2 linked regions of the Pelodiscus sinensis genome follow. The protein of the gene in region 2 interacts with the protein of the main gene of each other region in a biochemical or structural test. Links are inferred from orthologs where the notes say so. Each region holds a gene or a part of one and is shown on either strand. Other genes may lie near its edges.

What was found.
Region 1: the proteins of VDR (region 2) and HR form a complex in vitro, tested with the Homo sapiens proteins (2 studies listed by BioGRID and IntAct). The link is inferred for Pelodiscus sinensis from reciprocal best matches to the Homo sapiens genes VDR and HR.

What each region holds. Positions count from the first base shown.
Region 1 is NC_134738.1:11,647,553-11,658,290, reverse strand, and holds the start of HR (lysine-specific demethylase hairless), read right to left. Parts: upstream 4,968-10,738; 5' UTR 4,646-4,967; intron 1-4,645. UniProt on the Homo sapiens protein: Histone demethylase that specifically demethylates both mono- and dimethylated 'Lys-9' of histone H3. May act as a transcription regulator controlling hair biology (via targeting of collagens), neural activity, and cell cycle.
Region 2 is NC_134729.1:76,743-87,845, forward strand, and holds the start of VDR (vitamin D3 receptor), read left to right. Parts: upstream 1-6,627; 5' UTR 6,628-6,731; intron 6,732-11,103.

The sequences.
Region 1 (10,738 bases), on a different chromosome or scaffold from region 2:
TGCAAATCCCCAAGGCATCAACCTGGGAAAAGTCAGCCTCCCAGCCAATGTTCCCTGTAAGCTGAGCGCTTGGGCGCCACGCAGGAGAGAGTCCAGTGCTGCCCAGCTGATCAGTTTTTGTCCCTACTGGTGGTGCACATTCACACAGGCCTCGGTGCACGTAACAACATTTATTCTGCACATGGATGGAAAAGATTAGAGGAAACATTGATCCCAGCCAGCTCCTGCCTTTCTCCATGGAAAAAAACCAGCCACCAACTGCCACTATGGGCCGGTTGCTAGAGGGCACAGAACGGCTGCCGTTTTCTCTGGCTTTGTCTCCCGGCAGTGGGAGTGAAGTCCTCTGCTTTGGGGATTTGCCCCACACGTCCCGATCCACAACCCATTTACTTCTGGGCTCTGAAGGGCACTGGGAACCGTCACCCAACCACAGGGCCGGTCTCTCCTGGTTCCCAGCACTAGGCAGCCTTTCCTTTCCTGGGGGGTTGATCCCGTCGGGAGAGGCAGGCGGGTTTGTGGGAAATGAAACTTTTCACGGGGCAGGGGGTCTGTTCCCACATTTCGCCCAGAGGGCAATCAAATGCAACAGAGCGTTCCATTGGAGGGCATTTCGGCATCGGGGTTTTGTTTCACTTTGTGAAGAAAGTTCATGATCCAAATACAACAGGACGTTTTGTTTTCTGGTTTTTGTTTTGGTTTAAAAAAGTCAAAACGGGAATGAAACATTTTGAGTCACACAAAGCAAATGTTCATTGGGAACTTTTTTTTTTAAATTTTCATTTCATTCCAGAATGGGAAAAATCCTCAGTGGTGGCATTTCCCATGAAATGGAAAAAATGCCATTGCTGCCCTGCTTGGAGCACCAGGTGATAGCTTCCAATCCAGCACAAGGTAAAATGTCATTTGTTTTTTTTAGCCACCCCTCTGTGTACCGAGTTGCTGGGTCTCAATCCACGTCCCACTGGGAGGAGACAGCCCTGGGGAGCCTTTAGTGAAGCAGCATCAAGAAATGCCTCTTCCCCCAAATGCTGCGTGCGGCCCTATAGGACTCCCATTGGGGTGCAGGGCAGAGAATTTGCTCCATGGTGTATTTATTCCTTGTCCTCCTTGCTCAGAGAGTCAACACTGGGGCCAATTAGCACCTGTATGTAGCAGAGGGCTGGCCGGGAGGGAGATCAGAACAGCTCCTAGCACAGGCAAGCTCTGATCCACGCTAATTGCCTGCCTGTTGCGTGCGTTCAGATCCTAACTATGTCACCCCCCCTCTGCCCCTCTTGGCATCAGCTGAAACCAATTAGCAGCTGGTTTATATCCGGGTTCCAAAGCAGGCGAACGGCAACGTCAGTTTCATGCCAACATGCCATTGCTGTCTCTGGCGTGACGCCTCGTGTGGGGCATGTGGCCGGCTTCCAGCCAGAGAGGGAGAGAAATTCAGAGAGATCCTGTGGGGAAAGGGTCAGGACTCCAAGCCTTGTGGGGCTGAGCCAGGGGAGCTAAAGGGACAGAGGTGCTCACAGCTCTCCCTCGGGCGGCGTGGAACCTCAGAGAGAAAGCAGGAGCACCTGGGGTCAGACCCCCGGCAGACGGACAGAAGGACGAGAACCTACAGCGAAAGGTAGCGTGTACGGTGATTAGACAGATGGACACAGGCATCATTTCTCACCAGGGATTCATTATCTGCCTGCGCTACCAGCAGGGAAGCCCTCGTTTCCTATCCAGGTGCCCGGCTCTCTGCTGTACCGAGCTCTCACATGCAGACAAGGTTAAACACCAGTAAGCCAAGCCCCTGGGTGGCCACGGCCCTGAGCATTTATCTTCCCCATCAGAGTGGGACTGAATTCCACAGCTCAGCTCCATCCGTGCATGGGAGATGCTGAGCTTGGAAAAGAGGAGACCGAGACGGGACATGGTAGCAGTTTTCTGGAACCTAAAAGGGTGTTATGAAGGGGGGGGGGGCGAATTGTTCTCCTTGGCCTCTGAGGACAGGACAAGAAGCAAGGGGTTTAAATTGCAGCGGGGGAGGTTTAGGTTGGACATTAGGAAAAACTTCCTGCCGGTCAGGGTGGTCAAACACTGGAATAAATTGCTGGGGGGTTGTGGAATCTCCATCACCGGAGATATTTCAGAGCGGGTTGGACAGACACCTGCCAGGGATGATCTGGATCAGGGCTACTCAACACGCGGCCCACGGCCCGTTTGTTTGCAGCCCGCAGTGCAGTTTGGGTTTACACAGGGGCTCACCACATGGCCCGCGGGTGGGAGCCAAGACAAAAAAGCATCAATAGAACGGTTTTCTGTGGCGATGTGTTTTAGTAGTTCCATTCCTGGACTGTCATTGCTCATTAAAAGTGCTGTCCTACGGGTGGAAATCAGGTCCATGTTGCATTTTAATAATATCAGCAGAACTGACTTAAACGGGGCCTGCGTGTGGTGCTGTCTTGACTACGTCTTTGTTTTCATGCCCGTCAGTGCGAAAGAAGCGATTTGCATAGATTTGCATCTATATTTGCATGTCTGTGCAACCAGACTTAAGTTGCAGCCCTCGTCATGCGCTGTCAGTATCACTGTGGCCCCCGGGGCTTCCAAAGTTGAGTAGCCCTGATCTAGCTGGTGCTTGGTCCTGCCGTGAGGGCCGGGGACTGGACTTGATGACCTCTCGAGGTCCCTTCCCGTTCTAGTGTTCTCTGAGTCTATGATTCTAAGCTCCTCCCAGAGTATGGGGTCTCAGGGTGGACTCTCGGACACGGTTCATGGCTAGTGTTCCCTGGGCGACTTTTCCTCCAGCCATCGACTGCTATCCGCTCTGGATTTCTTGCAGCGTTTCAGCGTTTCCCCCCATCCAGATCAGACCTTTCTGCCCCTCCACAGCCCCTCTTCGGGGATAGCAAAAGCCTGTCAGAAACAGAAACGGCCCCCGCCGGGCCTTATGCCGAGCCCCGGTCGGAATGACAAGCAGCGCTGAAACTCACGTCCAACAGGGAACAGCCACTGAGGCAGCTTCCTGAGCTCACGCCGAGCCTTTCTGCCATAGGAGCATGTTGAGGGAGAGGGGTGGTGCTGGGGAGCCACAGGCCTCCCCTCCCCTCTGACAGTCACCCCTGATCGCCTGTCCCTGGGACGCCGTCCAGTCCAGAGACCGTCCCCTAGAGAGCATTAGGAAGAAGGCCACATGGGCAACTGGGCCCCAGGGGTGCTGATGAGTAGTGGTTAGAGCAAGGGATGGGGCATCCGGAGTGCTGGGTCCTTGTCCCAACTCTAGAAGTGCGTGTTTCAAAGCCCAGATCTCCAGCCAGGACGGGCCTGGCTCTCAGGGTGTGTAGGGTAAACTGAGGCACATTTAGGGCTGCCTCAGTTTACCCTACAGGGTGTGGGGGAGAATTGGAAATCGGTGCCACGGGGTTATGACCATGATTACTGCAGCCTTTCCAAATGGGAGTGACACCCCAGAGGGCCCCAGCAGGGCAAAGATTGTGAAGCGTGACTCTAGTGGTAAGAGCAGGAGTAGTGGCTTCCCTATGCCTGCTTCCTATTCCCAGCCCTGCTAAGGGAGTGGTGCCTAGGGGCTAGATCACATGCCTTGGGTTCTCTTTCCAGCTCTACTGCTCAGGCCCGGGGGCATGTTACTTCCCTGGGCGGTGCCTCAGTTTCTCCTGCTTGTCACATGAGGATAGTCAGGCTGACCGACTGCACGGGGAGGCTGGCGGGTTACACTTTATAAAGCGCTTAGAGCCATGGTTCCCAAACTTTTTGATTTTTGAGAAACCCTCACGCCCTCTTCCCCAAAAAATAGCAGCAAAGCCTTGCCCCTCCCCCGAATTTCATCACGCCCCCCAAGCGGGCACGCCCCCCAGTTTGGGAACCCATGGCTTAGAGAGATGCAAGGGTGGACTGTAGCAATTCAGAGTATTCAATATCATTGTGAATTAACGCTACCACCAGAGACCGGTCCCGCTGCACGGCTACACCAGCTGCGCTTTATAAACACAGACTTTAAAAAAAAAAAAAATAAAGCCTTCAGTTTCCCCAGTCCCAGTCTGCCTGGGACCCAGCAGGAATGCATACTCTTCAGACTCCACAGAGCTAGCTAACCCGTCCGTCTCCTGGATCTCCCAGCCAGGCGGCTCATGAACCTAAGCGGAACCTCATTCCGGTCCCTGAAGGCTCTTGCTTTTAGGACAATAGGTACAGCCCTCATGCTGCCCAGGCCGGTGCCCTCCTGCGAGCGTATTTTTGTGGTGTTTGGGGACAGGGATCCCCAGACAGGAGAAAAGGGGCTGGAAGAGGAATGTAGGTTCCCCTTCCCAGGGCAGAAGACAGACGCCTTTACCCACCAACCCTCCGCTCACATCCCCCTCACGCCACCTTTCAACCTTGCCCCCTGCCGAGAAACCCCCCTCCAAACCAGCCTGCCTCTCACATCGCCTCTTGGACAAACCCCCACAGCCTCCTCTCTGTCTCTCCATCGCCCCTCGTCCCCTGCCCACGTCCTTCTGAGGAACCTACAGCTGGCACACGCCTGGCCTGGGCGCTTGGACTTCTTAGCTGCCGGAAGAAACTTTTTGGGAGTTGTCACTCGCTCATCCTTCCTCCCCGCCCCCTGCCCCACCAGCTGGTCCTGCAGAAGGAGTTAAGTTCTCACACTTACCTGAACAGAAGGCAGCCCCAGATCCGTAGCCCCAGATCCTGGAGAGGGGACGTCTAAGCGGGGCCACCTGGCCCCCCCTGGGTGGGGGCAGCCTCAGAGCAGCCGTGGCTTGGGTTTCCCGTAGCCCTCCTCCTCGGTAGCACAGCCTGGGAGCCAGCCGAAGGCTCTGCACGCTGCCAACAAAGAGGCTGCATTTAAACAACAGACATAATTATGCTTTTGATACCGTCTGCTAAAAATACAGCTCTGTGCTGTGCTGCGAGCCATGTGTGTGCAGGCTCACATGGCCTCTGAATGGCAGCAGCTGACTCAGGCAAGAGGGGGAAGGGGGGGGACTGTGGAGAAAGGGAGAGAAAGGAGGGGGGAGAGGCAGGCGAGGTGAGGGAGGGACAGCGAGAGCCAGCGAGGCCTGGTTGGACGCGCTCTGAGTGAGGGAATCCAAGCCAGGCTCCGGTGCCAATGTCAGATGGGGACAGCAGGCTCCCCGGGCGGGGGCTCGTCGGGTCTGGGCCAGTCTCAGGTGGGGCTGGGGGCTCCCTCGGGGCTGTATATGGGCTAGGACCCTGTCCATCTGGTGAGAGAGGCATTTGGCTCGAATTCCTGTCTGCTTCTGTCTCTTCCTCCACCCTTTTGGGCATCGCAGGAGACTTAGCCCTGCCTGCAAACGCCCCCACGGGGGTGCAAAGATCTGGATGGGGGGGGCTACTGAGGACCAGCCTGCACGGTGCATGGAGGGGGGGGAGCCATGCCGTCACCGTTGGAACCAGCCTCTCTAGGGACACGATCCAGATTCTGAGCCGCTCTCCCTCAGCTCCTGCTCTGGGCGTCCAGACAGAGGGGGGAGGAGATGGATGGGGGGGGTCACTTCCTTCTGGGGGCAGAGCGGAGGAAGGCGCCGTGGGGGAAGGGGGAGCAGGGGCCAGGGGAGATGGGATGCTGAAGAGGTGTACACCGCCATGGCCTCCGCCTGGCACTGCCCGGCTCCTCGCCCGGCCCAGGCCTGCCCTTTCCCCAGACGCCCCCCTGCAAGCGCGGCGCCATTGGGGGCAGAAAACGCCTCGGGCCAGAGGCAGGAAGGAAACTGGTTGGGTGGGAGCTGCCCCTTTGAGGGGTCCCCAGGCGGACGCGGCAGCCCCCAGTTCACACGCTGGCTCCTCTTCACTCCAACACAAAACTTGGGCAAACACCCCGCAGAGCAGGGCCCCCCCCCCCAACGGGTTCAGCCCCTCGCGCGGCCTCCTCTGCCGCGAGGACAGTCGCCCGCGCCCAGCCCCTGGGAGCTCCAAAGCCGTGGCCCTCCCCGGGCACACCTGGCCGGTGGCTTGCAGGTACCTGGCCCTTTCCCGCCGGGGTCTGGTAGCTGAAGAGGGCAGGCTGGCCCCGGAGCCCTTAAAGGGGCAGGCCGTAATGTTACACCCCCTTCAAGTCACCCTGTCCTATCTGCACACTGCTCCCCCTCCCCTCCCGTGGGTCGGCCGCACCTCCTGGGTCAGGCTGGGGGGGGGGGGGGAGGACTTTGTCCTATCCAAACTGGGGCAGGTCAGGCACAAGTCGCCTTTTAATAGCCCTGAGTCACCCCTGTCCCCCCGAAATGATCCCACGGAGCGTGCAGGCAAAGGCCCTTCCCTCGCACCTGGGTCGCTGACGGGCTCCGCAGGGAGGCAGCCGCCAGGGGAGGGGAAAGGGGCTGGCGTGCAGCATCCGAAGGGTTAAAATAGGCAGAGGGCGCAGGGACCAGGCAGGATAAGGGGGGAGGGAAGGTCTCACGGAGGCTCTGCGCTGACCCAGGCTGATGGCTTCGCTTCCCCCTTGGCTGAGCCCTCCGAGGGGTGAGCCGGTTGCAACAGCCCTGCCATAGGCTGACCCGTCTCCCCGGCAGTCCAAGCCTTGCGGCTGCCGAAACTCTCCCCAGCCCGGCAGGGCTGTCAAGTCAACCCCTCCATGCTGCCAGCCGGTGCCTGGATCTGCCGTCAGAGCCCCCAGGAGTACCCCGGCAGGGCGCAGGGGCAGTCGGGAGCAAGGCCCCGCTCTCCCTGGGAGCAGAGTAAAGCCGCACAAGGCAGGCTCTCGGCTCTCCCGCAGCTCGCTGGTTGCTCAGCCGGGCGGCAGGCCCAGCAGCGACAGCGTTAAGGGAGGGATGTGCCAAGCGCACTGTGGCTTGCTGGCTGGGGGCGGCACCCGGCAGTCCTGGCTGGTAACTTCCGTGGGCCCATGGCCGCCAGCTCCTCCGCGAGCTAAGAGTCCAGCAGAGATCTAGCCTGTTAATGAATAAACAACCCCCCGATCTCCCTCCCCATCACTGACCTCTGGTGCCAGCGTATCAGCGCAGGGGCGAGTACCAGCCCGGTGCACTGCGATCCGGCCGGCCTGGAATGCGGCCGCCCGGCCAGCTGCAGCTGCATGTTTACCCCCAGGATGCGGGGTCACGGCAGCCCAGTGGGACCAAAGGCCGGCTCAGCTGTCAAGAGACTGGACGGCCTGTTCAGAGACCCGCTCGGGAAGCAGAATTTTTGTCTGCCGGTGGCTGGCCAGGCCCTGTCGCCAGAGAGGTGTCTGCGTGGCCGTGGCATCGCCTGCTGGTCATTATAACCCGTGGCCTTGCCCCCAGCTGGGTGAGAACTAGGGGTGGGCAAAATACGGCCCGTGGGCCAGACCCGGCCCGCAGGAGCCTCCGCCAGGCTGCCTGCCTGCCCCGCTCTCGCTTGTGCTCAGAGCAGCTCTCTGAATCCTGCGAGTCCCGGGGGAAGACATTGCACACTGTCCCCACCCCCAGCAAAATCTTACAGCTCCCGTTGGCCAGTTTTCGGCCAATGGGAGCTGCTTGTTCGCAGGACAGGCAGCACAGGAAGTACCCCACCCCTCTATGGGCTCACAGGCTTCGGCCTCAGCCATGCATGCAGCCGGTGCAGGGGTGTGGAAGGCAGGGACCCCGGCTGAGGAATCCCAGCCAAAGCCTGCCTCTGACACCCCAGCCCCTCTCTCCCCCCAACCATCTGCCCCTCTCCTGCATCCCTACCCCATGTAACCCAAACTCTCTGCACCCCTTCTCCTGCACCCATACCCCCTCCTGCACCCTGCACCCCAGCTCCCTACCCCAGGTCTCAACCCCCTCCTTCACCCAAATTCCCTTCCAGATCCCACACCCCCTCCAGCACCCCAATCCTTCCCCCGAGCTCCCTTCTGCACCCAGCCTACAGCCTGCCCCCTCTCCATTAATATCATGGAAGAGTGCCACTATGACCTCTTACCAAATCCATGGAGTGTCCCCCATCAGAAATTATTGCCACCCCCAGGCTAGCTTGGTCTTGGCACAGCCCACCTTCGAGCAGCCCACCTCCCAGGGCCCAGCGAGGCAGGTGAGGGGGACCCACGCAGCACGGCCCCTCCCCACGCGGCAACCCCAGCCCCGCAGGGCGTACGGTCAGACGGGAGCGTCCCGTGGAGTCCGGCACGCTGGCCACGGGTGGCTCTTTGGCCAGCTGAGCGCGGCTGGTTGGCTCACACGATTATTCACCGTTTCGGAATGACGTGGCTAGTTCCCGATGGCAGTAGCCACGAGAGCGGTTGGACACCTGTCTGACCTCCGGCCCCTGGCAGGCCACAAAACCGCACCCACCCAGTCCAGACCCAGCGAACCCTCCTTACCTTCGGCAGTGCCAAGAGGACAGAGCGTCCCGTTCCTCTGGCTCCCGTCGCCGGGCCCAGCCTCGCCCCCCCGCCTGCCAGAGTACATCAGAGCCAAGGACGGTCAGTAACCAGCCAGGGCAGGGCTCGCACGGTGTTCCTGCTCCCCAGGGAACGGCACAGCCCTCCCTCTCAGAAGAACAGGGCCTACTGGGGGAGCATGATGCAGCCGGCATCAGCCTGTGAACGCTCCCCCTTCCCCCCACCACCCTCACTCCCGACACCTGCTCCTGCTTAGCCACATCCTCCTTGTCCACCAGGAGCTGCCCCATCTCCATCCTCTTAAGCAGCAGCCTGAGCCGGGTTGTGGGACTCTTCGAACCAAGCTAAGCGAGAGGCAGGAATGAGGCTGCTTTAGACAGTCCCCACGACCCTCGGTGCAGGGGGACATGCCTGGAGAAGGTTTCCAAAACTCTGGTTGTGGATACAGGGGCTTCCATCCAAGAAGCAAGGAAAGAGGCGCCATCTTTCAGAGGCAGCACTGGACAATGAATGGGGAGACCTGGAGTCTATTCCCTGTCTCTGCCACAGAGTCTGCGGGTGTCCTTGGGCAAGTCACATCACCTGTCTAGGCCTCAGTTTCCCACCTGTAAATTGGGAGAATAACATCTCCTCTCTCTCCCTAATCTATCCATGGGCCCTTTGAGGCAGGGACGGTCCCTCACTCCAGCATCTAGCGCAGTGGGAGCTCCATCATAACCATACCACAGTAACCAGGGCACTGGAGCAGCTGGCCTGTCTCTTTTCATGCCTGAGGCCAGTCTGACACTGGCTTTATGAGTGATCCCTTTCCACCTGACACGAATGCAGGGCAGGGAGGCTCCTGCCTGTAGTGTCCCTCCCCCACCTCGCCCCGAGCCCTGACCAGCCCTGCATTTCCGTCCATGAAGCGTTAACAGGACAGGGAAGCCAGCCAACTCCCTCGCCTGGAAAGGTCACAGGGGAGGAGGGAGCAATTGAGAAATCCGGCCTTTCCGTGCCAAGGCCAGGCAGTGTGCGGGCAGGGAACCCCACCCCTGCAGGGGTCCCCGCTAGGACTCCTGGGGGCCGGGCTTGGCTTCTCTACCCCTCGTCCATGCCGACTGGCTGCCGGAGCTGCGGGCGGAAGCTGGCGCAGCAGCCTGGCTGGCGAGAGACAGGGCGTAGCACGAAGCTGCCGAGGCAGGCCCAGCACCTGTGCGTGGGTTTTGACCGGAGGCCCGCGGACCCCTGAAGGGATCACAGCGTCTAAGGGGTCCCCAGGGGCCACCGCTCTGCAGGGGGCTGCATGTAAGACGTTGGAAGCCCCCGTCCTAGTACGTTCACTCTGGGACCGAGCGCCCGGGAAGCTGATTAGCGAGCCGTGAGCAGCCCTAGGCTCAAAGAGTAGTGGCCTGCGGGAACGCCCCGACACGGGTCTTGCGGAGGGGCTGACGCATGGCGAGGGAGCAAAGGGGTGCAGCAGAGGGAGGTATCCTGTCCCTGAGCTCAGATCCGACGAACGGCTGCAGGAAGCCAGGCCAGAGGAGGCCTGGCCCTGGAATCTGTGAGGAAGGAGCGAAATGAGTTTGGGGGGTGGCGGGTTGGGGGCGGCCACTGGGTAGCTGGGGGTAAGCGGCAGCGTCGGCTCAGACAGAGCCGGGGTCACGGCCGAGGGACACCCCACGCTGGCCAGGGAGAGGGCTGAGGGTTAGGACCCCGAGGGGAGCAGGCAGCATGTGGAGACGCACTTGGCACATCACCTACCCCCCACGCTGGGGGCTAGCCGGCCCCGGCCGAAAGTCTCCTGGCATCGCTGGAAGGAGGGGGCAGCCCCTGTCCCCGCACATAGGCCCTGCCGGTCCCACTGAGGCCGCCCGGGGCAGATGGGAACCTGGCAGCAGGTTGGGTGGCTGGAAAGAAACGGCTCCGGGGTTGGGCGAGCTCAGGTCAGCCTGACAATTGCTCCACTGGCCGCGCGCCAAGGGGGAGATTAAGGCTTTGCTGACTGCGAACGGGCCCCGGCCAACGAGCTGATGCTGCTGGTCTCAGTGTCTGGCATGGGGCAAGGGTGGGGGGAGGGTCCCCCGGGCTCTGTCCTCCGCAGCACTGGCGGGTGAGTCCCCCCCTAGGTAGCCCCCCCAGCGGGGCTGTGGGGGGCAATGGGCAGGCTTTGACCAGCCCTTCCTGGAGAAGGAACCTCACTGGGGTCTGTGTCCTGCTCAGGGGCTTCTCCTGCCGAGGGGCGCGAGAGGGTCTCTAGCAATCCCAGCAGCAGGGAGTCGGCGTTGGACTGCGGCTTCTGTTCCTGGGTGCGGGGAGGAGGTCCTAGTAGTTACAGTAAAGGGGGGGACGGGAGCCAGGACTCCTGGGTTCCCTTCCCAGCTGTGCCTCCTGACGGCTCCCTGCCTCAGTTTCCCCATCTGTAAAATGGGGCTCATGCTCCCACTT
Region 2 (11,103 bases):
GAAAATATTTTGAACTCTCAATAGTTTTGCAGGATGGGAAAACCATCTGCCCCCAGCCCCAGTGGGGGAACATCGTGTGCTAATGGGCTGTACCATTGGGATCAGAGAAGAAATGTACGCAAAAGGGCAGCTGCGTCTGCAGTTCAGTCCCAAAGGCAGCTGCGCTGGGAGACGCCTGGGTCAATTCAGTAACCAGCTCCGCTGAGACTGCTCACCACAGCAGCTCTCTGCTACACTGGCCATGACCTCTCACCCCACAGCCCGAGGGCAGAGTGATTCCTGCCTACAGTTTGTACAGCTACACAAACACAAGATCATTACCAGCTTCTCCTGGTGACTGCCCCCGCCCCCATAACAAGCACTATTAAAGCAATCGCGCAGGAGTGGGAGCAGCCGTTAGAATTAGATTGTTAAGGTGGCGAAGCCATTTCCCCTCTCACGTGCCTGTCACTTCCACCGTCTGGGACAAACTTTTCCAGCTTCAGCTGCTGCCAGCAAGCAATGTTTCCAGAAAAGGTTGAGCAGCGCCAGTCTGTATCACTAAGTATTGGCATTACGCCGGGCCTATACCGCACCTTGCACAATGGGCTCTGTTCGCTAGGTGCTACAGCTGCACAGACTCCGAGCGGGGCCCTGTGGTTGTAAAGGTGGCATGTTTGTGGCTCTGAGTCTGTGCAGCACTATGGGGGCTCTGAGCTCTGCTATGGAAAACAGATGACAGCAACTCTGATTTGACATCTGCTTGGCAGTGTTAGTAGTGATATTGCTTTTCCGGCTTTGTTCACCGTGTGCTTGTCAACTCCTCTTGCCACAGAGGAGAGGCGATGCCTGGCGATCTTTGGCGCTCAATCCTGACAATTCTTGTGAAGTCTGGAGCTTCCCTTCAAGCTCCCAGACCCTGACTTGTGGAACTACCTGGGGGGATTTTGGCTTTTGTTTCTGAAAAGATGTTTTCTGGCTCTCATGGAGGAAAACTGGAACTCATGAAGCACAGGCGTCCAGAAGGCGCAGAAACCAGAATGCCTTCTGGGAGCACGGAGCTGTCCCCCCTCCCGACGTGCTCATGTTAAAGCCTCTAGACCTGGTTTTCCAGATCACAAGTTGCTCCCTGCTGATACCGTTGTGGTCACCTAGTCCGGCTGATCTCAACCAGGGTACACGGGGCTCTTCCAGGGGCTGCATCAACCCATCTAGACACCACCCTAGTTTTACCCCAGGTGGCACAAAAAGCACGGGCAGAGTCAGTACAGGCTACAATTTCACGCAGACCGTGGCTTGTTTCTACTGCTCCTCAAGCCATGCACCGGAATGGAAGGGCCGTATTTCCATCCCCACTGATTTCTTTTGTAATTAGAGGATGAACGTGCGAAAGGAAACCATGATTCAGTAGCAGTGTGGCCAGGACACTTCTGTCTCTCTAAAGCTGATTCTGAGTGAGTCGGCGAGTCGGCGCTCAGTGAGGTGAAACTCAGGCTCTGAAAGATGGAAGCAGCTCCTGAAAGCTGCCGCTTGGAAAGGCTGAGAGCCCCGTCAGACCTGCATAGCACGGCCCATGGGGCTTCTCGGCGTGAACGCCTGTGTGACCTGGAGCAGACCAACTCCCCACCCGACACAAACGTTGCCAATAAGGGAGGTGCCCCCATGACTCTTGGCAGGTTGTTCCCACAGTGAGTTACCCCCTGACAAAAAGGTGCGCCTTGTTTCTCATCTGTCTCCAGCTTTACTTTCCAGCTGGCCTCTTGCTTGGCTGGGGCCCACACTCCTCCTTGGATCTTATCAGCCTGTCCCTTTGGTTTGTCTGGTTCGCCTTGCCCCAAGGCGGGACGTTTCCTGTCCACTCTCCCCGCCAAGCTCCCTGCCCGAGGCAGCAAGCCGAGTTCAGACGGTCACAGCCAGACAGTGCTCGTCGGCAAACCGGTCCTGCTGTCTCCTGCGCGTCTCGCTCACAGATGCAGAAAGGTCTCTGTGCTGACCCACAGCTCACGCGCACGGCCGGCATTGCGTACGGGCCAGAAACCTGACCCCTCCTACAGGCAGACGGGAGCGCCTCGAGGCACCCCATATGCACCATCAGCACCAAACCCGGAGCATGAAGAGGTCTGACTTTGTGCAAAGCACCCCGGTCAAGCAGAGATCCGGTCTTCCTTCCGTCGCCAGTGAGATTCAAAAGCAGCGTTGCGCGGTCTGCGGCCGTGTCGCTGGCATGGAGGGAAAATATCCCAGCGCCCCATGTGCTGCGATCTGCATTGACCCGTGAGGGGCTGCGTGCTCTGACCCTACTTTGGCATTGCCCCGGGGGCCCCCAGAGATTCCTGGCTTTGCCGGAGTGAGCCAGACCTGGCAACTTGGCTACATCGCGGCCATCGGCTGCACTCACTCTGCAGGGCACAGTGGTCTCTCCACAGTCAATGCACCGCTGCGGAGGATTTCATTCACCCCTAAACCAAAGCCAGGCAGCCAGGCTCTGCTTCGCCAGGCGTACAAAGCCCAATCCCAGGCCTGCACTGCACCAGGAAGATTTGCTATGTCAGGTGGGAGTGTAAAAAATTCACCCCCCCTCGCTGATATACCAGTGCAGCCAAACCCTCGGCATAGACACAACTATGCCAGCGGAAGAGCTCTGACGTCACCTTGCCTCACATTATCCTTGGGATACGTTAGCAGATGCTGCAGCTACACCAGAGGGCTAGGCCCGCAGAGGCTCTGGAGTGTAGACACGGCCCCCAGGAAAGTCAAGGGGATCTGGGCAATAAATACCCTTTTCTCCATAGTTCGCCTCTCGTGTAGTCATTCTGCTGTTATCCTCTTGTGGTATTCGGTGTTTTGCATTAAGCCCCTGCTCCTGGAGTCATGGGATTATGTGAGTATCTCGCCTCTCACTGAAAATGGGGAAGTACATTTCTAGCTCGTATGTCCGGAGACAAAGGCCAACATAGGCGATCTCTAAAACCTCTAAGCCTAGTAAGCAAATAAAAGAATCTCCAATTTCTTAATTTACTTATAAGTTTTCTGATTTGTGAGCCAATTGTGCTATGTTTGGGAGAGGCTTGACGTGCAATTTCTGAACGTTTGGAGTCAGAGACACTAGTGCAGGGTGGCTGCAGATCGACACCACTTGGAGTCAGTAGCATTTTGCACAGCACTCTGGGCAAGGGAGAATCTGCCTGGCTGTATTTCCCCACACTGAGGCTGTGCAAAGTTGCTTGTGCCCCCAAAAGTCTGTCTTGCACAATGATAACCAGTGTTCACCCCAGCTGACTGCACAGTTCTGCACATTTTGATTGCCTTTATGATTTATTTTCCTGATCGGCACCATTAAACCAATTTAGATACGTTTAGCAAAACATTTTTCCAAGGCAAATTAAGGCTGTTGAACTTACTGTTTATGGTTCATAGGTTCATAGGGGTGATTTTTTTCTTCTTGTGCTGATGTGTTAGACGCCTCCACTTTCTCTCCTGATGTAGGTTTGTTTTCCCAACAGGCAGTCAGGGCCATAAAACCAATTTCTCCTGGGGATCAGGGGCCGAAAGATGTGAGAGACATTCAGCCAGCCCAAATTTTTCAACCACATTTTTTTCAGTAAAAAATTCAGATTCGGCAGTACCAAAACATTTTGCAAATTTGTACCATTTTCGCATCATTGTTCGTTTTGAAAAAATCCCCAACCCTCACCCCCAAAATTCCAAAGGTTATTGTTTTCATATTTTGAAAACAAAAAGTTTTGATCTTTACAGTTGAAAAGACTTTTCATTTAGAAATTTCCTTTAATTTAAAAAAAATGTAAGAAAAATATAAATTAAAAAACTTTTTTCTGACTTTTTGATTGGCTGAAAATTTTTTAAAAAAAGGTTTTCAATTCAGTCTGAACTCCCTCCCCCCAAACTGAATTCCCGGCAAACTGAAAATCCATTATTTGGCCAGCTTAAATTCTGGCAACATTTAAATGGAGTTTCCTGCAAATCCCCTCCCAATTTTATACAAGGAGCTCCAACTCATAAATGCAAAGATTCCAAAGCCAGATGGGACCACTGTGATCATCCAGTCTGCCCTCTTTCACCAACCACACCACAGAACTTCTCCACACTAATTCTTTGAACAAATCATTCAGAACAATGTCAAACCTTGGTTGAAAACTTGCCAATCACAGGTGCTTTTGCAGAGACATGTCTGAAGAATGAAAACGAGGAAACACATTAAGGAATTTGAAATCTACAAATCCATAAATAACACTTTACAGATGTGTGTGATAGTCCCTGTTGTTTCCACATCTTGTGATATTACGTGTTTCCTGAAGTCCCGGCTCATGGAGTCTGGTGATTACACGAGACTTTCATTAGCAGGGGGGAAGTAAGTCTCTATCCCTCATGGTTACAGAGAAAATATCGAGTTCATATGCCATAAAGGCGCCAAATTCAGAAGGCCAATAAAAAGGACAGAAAATCTGCCTGCAGATGCATACTGGGTCCAAAGTCTCAGGTGTTGTAAACCAGGATGTTTTGGGGACTTAAACTGGTACTTAAGTATTGCATAAGCTTTGTGCTGGGTCGCTGCACTGGAGTGAGAGGAGGTCATTTTCCTAAGGCTCTGGAAGATGTCAGAAAAGTCCTCAGATAAGACGGAAGGACTGTCATCTCTCTGCCACATGGTAGCAGATCTTGGGCCCTTCATGACTGTTTCTCAGTGGAGGAGAAATCAGCGAAGCAGAGCCTGGGTATTTTCTCATGGTAGCTTGTTGATTCACACTATGTACCCCAGTCCTGGAACAGAGGGGGTCACAAACAGCAGGCAGATCTCTGTTGGAGATCTCAAACCAGCAATCAATACCTCCCTTCCAGGGAGCAACGGGTGCCCCTGTTTTTAAAAAGGAAAATGTCACCCCTATGTGGAGCTGGAGCAGGGACAGCACAGCGGTGACAGGACGGTGCATGCACAAGCCGACCGCAGCCTCCATTTCACTCGCCGCGGCAGTTTGAAAGCAGCCGGAAGCTCCAAGCCTCCTCAGGTCCGTCTACACTGCAACACTATTTCAGGATACCGGAGTATCCCAAAATTGCTATCCCGCGTCTTCACAGCAAGCCCGTTATTTCAGGCTCACTATTCCGACGTCCCTGCAAACCTCGTTCTACGAGGAGTAAGGGGTGCTTCGGAATAGCGCTGTATTTCGAAATTTGGTGCTGCGTAGACAGCGACAAATGATGAAATAAGCTACTTCAAAATAGCCTCGAGAGAAGATACACAATTTGCGTAACTCAAATCGCGTCGCTTATTTCGAGTTACGGTGCAGTGTAGACTCCCCCTCCTGCCCTGTGCAGGACTCCCTGCAGCCGCTGCTGGTATTTAAAAGGACTGGTGCAGCCCCGGACCCCCTTAAGTCCACTGGGCCCAGGGACAATTGGCCCCTTTTGTCCCCATCGACAGGCCAGACAGAGCTACTGCAAATCCAGATCCATCAAAACGAGCCATCCCTGCAGACAGCAAGCCGCAGAGGCAATTAAATGCTGGAACCACCTTACTGTATTTAAACAGATACAGGCAGGATTTGGAGACTGCTGCAACCCCCCAAGGCCCTGCCTTTGAAGGAAGCTTCATGAGAGCGCCCATTAGCACAGGAAGGCATGTTGGGGTTCTGCAGAGTCTCAGCAAGGAAATTCATGAAGTTGCTGGGCCAGTTTTTCTGCTGCCCTGCGTGGTGCCCAGGGCACTCGGAATGGCCGGATTGCACCTGGTGTAAAAGGGTGTGAGGTCTGGAGGTGGGAGGGGGCTGCAGAACAGCCATGCCTCTAGCAGGAGTCTAGCTGGTGGTTGCTGAGCTGCCCAGGGCAGGAATTTTGTGTATTGTTTCCTTTCATTCCCATTCTTGGGCACTGGTGCCAACAGACGCAGGGCTGAGCCAGCCGGGGCAGCCGCGGGGGAGCGGAAAAGCTCTGCCGCTCGGACACTGGACCGAGACAGAACCACCCTGATCTAGAGTGGAATCAAGTGCAAAACTCCTCAGTGCTGGGGCCCCAGCACGGACCTTGTGGCCAGGAGCTGGTGCCATTTCCACGGCGGCTGTTCGGAGTTCCCAAACCCCTGCGCGTCTCCACGGCTCACTCCGACAAGTGCGCTGTTGGGAGCTGCCTCTCCAGCATGCCCGTCCCCAGGGCACCTGCCACGCTGGGCCACCGAGACAAGCGGCTGCTGGCTGGGAATGCAGCAGAGAACGGCCAGGCTTTCCCGGCTGTGCAGGGCTGGCAGAGGCTGGGGTGGCAGGGAGTCTGAGGGGAGGGGGCAGGCTGGGGGGCTGAGGGGAGGGGGACAGGTTGGGGGTCTGAGGGAAGGGGCTGGGGGGAGGGGGCAGGCAGGGGGCTGAGGGGAGGGGGACAGGTTGGGGGCTGAGGGGAGGGGGACAGGTTGGGGGTCTGAGGGAAGGGGCTGGGGGGGAGGAGGGGCAAGCTGGGGGGGGCAGTCCGAAGAGGGACGAAGTGAGGCGGCAGAGGACAAGCGGGGCAGGGGGCGGGGCTTTTCCCGGCTCCGGGTGAGGGCGGGGCAGGGGGCGGGGCTTTTCCCGGCTCCGGGTGGGGGCGGGGCGAGGGGCGGGGCTGTTCCCGGCTCCGGGTGGGGGCGGGGCGAGGGGCGGGGCTGTTCCCGGCTCCGGGTGGGGGCGGGGCGCCGGTCGCTTCCCGTCAAAAGGCGGGCGCGGGGCCGGGGGGGGGCCGGCGGGAGCAGGGGGCGCTCGTAGCACGTGCAGGTACCGGGCTGGTCTCCGGGGGCGCTCAGCTTCCCCCCCCCCGGGGCGCTGCCGGGCTCTGAGGGGCGCCCCCCCCCGGAGGGGAACGGGGGGGGGCGCTGCCGGGCTCTGAGGGGCGCCCCCCCCCGGAGGGGAACGGGGGGGGGCGCTGCCGGGCTCTGAGGGGCGCCCCCCCGGAGGGGAATGGGGGGGGCGCTGCCGGGCTCTGAGGGGCGCCCCCCCGGAGGGGAATGGGGGGGGCGCTGCCGGGCTCTGAGGGGCGCCCCCCCGGAGGGGAATGGGGGGGGGCGCTGCCGGGCTCTGAGGGGCGCCCCCCCCGGAGGGGAATGGGGGGGGCGCTGCCGGGCTCTGAGGGGCGCCCCCCCCGGAGGGGAATGGGGGGGGCGCTGCCGGGCTCTGAGGGGCGCCCCCCCGGAGGGGAATGGGGGGGGGCGCTGCCGGGCTCTGAGGGGCGCCCCCCCGGAGGGGAATGGGGGGGGGCGCTGCCGGGCTCTGAGGGGCGCCCCCCCGGAGGGGAATGGGGGGGGCGCTGCCGGGCTCTGAGGGGCGCCCCCCCCGGAGGGGAATGGGGGGGGCGCTGCCGGGCTCTGAGGGGCGCCCCCCCCGGAGGGGAATGGGGGGGGCGCTGCCGGGCTCTGAGGGGCGCCCCCCCCGGAGGGGAAGGGGGGGCGCTGCCGGGCTCTGAGGGGCCCCCCCGGAGGGGAAGGGGGGGGGCGCTGCCGGGCTCTGAGGGGCCCCCCCGGAGGGGAAGGGGGGGGGCGCTGCCGGGCTCTGAGGGGCCCCCCCGGAGGGGAAGGGGGGTGCTCCCTTTCTCGGGGCAGAGTGAGGGGTTGTCGGGGGGGGCCCCTGGCGTTAGCCCTGCCCAGCGCGGGTGCGGGCTGGGGCGAGGACTGGGGGGTTGATTCCCCCCTTCCCCATGTCCAACCCCCCCCAGTTCCCGTCCAGCCCCGGGCCGGAGCGCTCCTGTGCTGTCCAGGGACTGGCTGTAGCGACTGGCGCCCTTATTCCTCTTTCTGTCGGGGCTTGTCGTGCGCTCCTGTTGCTTTGTCCATGTCTCTCTGGGGCCCGGGGCCCGGATTAAATGCCGGATTCCTCCTGTGGTTGTATAGAAGGACTCGCTTCCTGGTGCCTTAAACTTTTACCTTGCAGCCACATAGCAATGCAAACTGCCTTGCTGTCAACCCCTGGGCTTTGTGCTTCTGTGAAGAGCCGATTTCGAGCCTCTCCACCCCGATACATTAGCTGTGTTGGGGGGTTTTAAGTCGAATCTCTATACAATTTCTGCCCATCTCTCTGCTGTCTCTGTTTTTTCATTCCCAGTGGCGGGATCTGCAGCCCATTCCCACTTAATCTAAGAATGTCAGATCAGTTTAATGAGATGTTTTGGGGATTGCAAGTTGTACAAGTGTTGTGAAAAACCAGACCCCTCGGCTACCTGGCAGCAAGATAGATACCTGCTGTGTTTGGTGTTTGATTATTATGTGGCTGTCCATAATATTTTGGTCACTAAGTCATCTGGATACTGAATGACCAAAATATTATGGATAACGAATGAGCATGTTAAAACAAGTCTTAAGGCTGCTTTCTCAGTACCTCTCTGTGTGTGACTTTGCTACTTGTCATAGCTATTTTGTTTATAGTTTTCCAGTCGGCTCACAATCCACAAGTTATTTCGTCTGAGCCAATTGAATGAATGTGCCGGTTAAGACTTCGTGAGGCACAGTATAGAATGCCTCCAGTTCCAATAGACTCTACACTTGTAGTGACTTGTTTCACTATATTCCTAATGATAAAAAATTTGCCTTACTGCAATATAATTGCCAAGGTTTTTTTCCCTCTTTTGTGAGGGATAAGCTCCCTTGTGCATAACCTTCTCCTCAACTGTGCCCCCCGGGTTGGGTCTAGGACATGGGTGAAAGGTTAAGGCATCTCTGGACCCCACTTTGACAGGATAGAGTAACTGGAGGGATCATTTTCTTTTTTGGGAAGGGGGAATGAGCATGCTGGGTTAGGAGGAGAAGCTTCTGCTTGGGGCAAAGATGCGAGGTATAAAAGGAAGACTGGTGTCTTCTGCAGTGTGGCTTTCTAGCCTTTGGAGGGCTGATGTAGTAACAGCATAATGCTGGCGTCTGGCACTTCCGAAAGTCAAGTAAGGTTCCATAGAAGCCAGTTTCCATGAAAACCCCTCTAAAGCTTGTTTCCTTTCATGACTTGCTCTCCTCCCACATTAGATGAGACCAGTGACTCATGTTCCTTTCTGGGCTCAGTATAAGAGGCTGTAGCATGTTCCAGAGCATATGTCTTTCCTTCTGAAGGGAACTTGGTTCTGCGTTCAGCTTTAGTATGGAGTCTGCAAACACAGGCACTCCTCTCTTGCATCTGCAGTACAGTAGGTCAGAGCTGGGTCAGTAGGCTGTCTGGCAAGAGCACTTAGTATCTGGCAGGATGGGACAAAGGCTTTAATAACTGCTTTTAAACCAGTCCAGTCACTAAAGAACCTTTAACCCATCAGACATAGAGTAATTATGTAAAGCTTAGTCATTTTACTCCCCTCCCCCCCCCCCTTTTAAAGCCTCTTTCCTCCACAATACTGGGCGTTTATAAACTAGCTTTGAGTTGAAGTTTTTGCTGTGAGTTTAAAGTGCTCATGCTATGAGGCAGACTTTCTCATTCAGATAGGACGGTTTTTCTGAAATATGTACGCAAACTTGAAATGCACCAAAGTTCAGGCTAATCTTGTTATGAGAGAGTTAAGAGTTCTGATTGCTCAGAGCTGAATGACTTTAACCAAATGCACTAGAGACTTGAGCAGTGTGTTTTAATCATGACTAGAGAGCATACAATTTTGGCTGGCTAGGGCACTACACCCAAATCTTGTGTACAGGGAGCTACAGTAGACTGTACAATCTGTGCTTTCATCATTTTCAATTTAAGTTGCCTCATCACCATATGGAATCTGCAACTATTTCACCAGTAAAAGCCAATGAAAACTCTCACCCTGGTGCTCTGCAGAAGCTACTTCCCCTGTTAATTTCCAGAACAAATTCTGTCTTGTTCCTGATCTCTGAAAGCTTTCCCATGTTGGGACTTGGCAGTTTTGAGACTCCAATTTGTTGCCCACCACTTGCCCAAATGATTGTGCTCCACTGAGATTTATGCAATTGGTGAACCCCAAGAAAAGACTACTTGGGGCACTTGGAGGTCTGACTAAAATCCAGTCTTGAATGTAATCCCATCAACAGAAGTCCAGATTGTTTTGTGTTTTTGAAGAGTCAAAAATGTTAAAATCCTCGAATCCTGAGGAAAAGTGCTTGCTGTACTATTTGCTTTTATTAAAAAAAATTGTGTGCCTAGATACTAAGGTGCTTAGGGCAGATGGCTATATAACATAACCCTATGCAAAGTGCAAATATAGCTTTGCTACTTGTGGAAAGGTGGCTATTTCTGTCCCTGGCTGAAATGCTGACTCTGTGTTTAAAAGCATTTTATACCTCCTGTAACTTTGCCAAAACTAAAACAAGTCAGCTGAAACTTCCCGTGACCTTCTCTAGAGAAGTACTGGAATCTTGGGCAGCTGGACAAAGAATGAATGATCAGGTAAAACAACAAAAAAAAATTTGCAAAAGTTCTCACTCTGCTGGAAAATCCTGATCTTAAGAAAAAGATGGAGAATCATGGGATTTAACAGAGCCCCTGGACAAACAAATTTCCCTTATAGTTGATCAAGACTTAGGATCTGGGACCTTCTACCGGCTGTACCTGTGAAGAGCACAATAACACTGCAAAGCGGTGGAGTCTGCTGTACTCCAGGTTAATTAAAGGTGTGGGGATGTATTTGGCTTGCCCTGTGAGCTAGACCTACTGAGTGGCATATACTTACTGGCGGTGATCCAAGGGAGATTTCAGATCTGTTTTAAAATGAGCCTTCTTCCAACTCTTGGAGGAAGAATGACTCCAACATTACTTGGAGGGAATATTTCCTCCATGTCCTCTGGTATAGAAATCAGTTTTGCCTTTGGACTTCTAGAGACTCCCTTACCTTCCTGGGTATATTGCAGAGTAGGTGCAACACAGGACCTGTAAGACAGTTCATTCAGGGTGTCCTGGTTTTTAAGCTGTTTGCTTCCACTAGGACTTGATGGTTTAAAGTTATGCCCTTCTAGCTAGTACATAATTCATAAGATTGATGACTAAATCTTGTATAACCAGCAAGATCTGTACAATCCATTCAACTGTACTGACTTCAGGAAACTTCCCAAATCCTTGTTTTCTTTATGATGGTGTTCCAGCAATGGCCATTTCTCACTCTGCTGCTTTGGCAGAGCTCTGAGTGTCGGTAGAGGCACAAGAGTGTCTATCGCCAGTGGAAGAT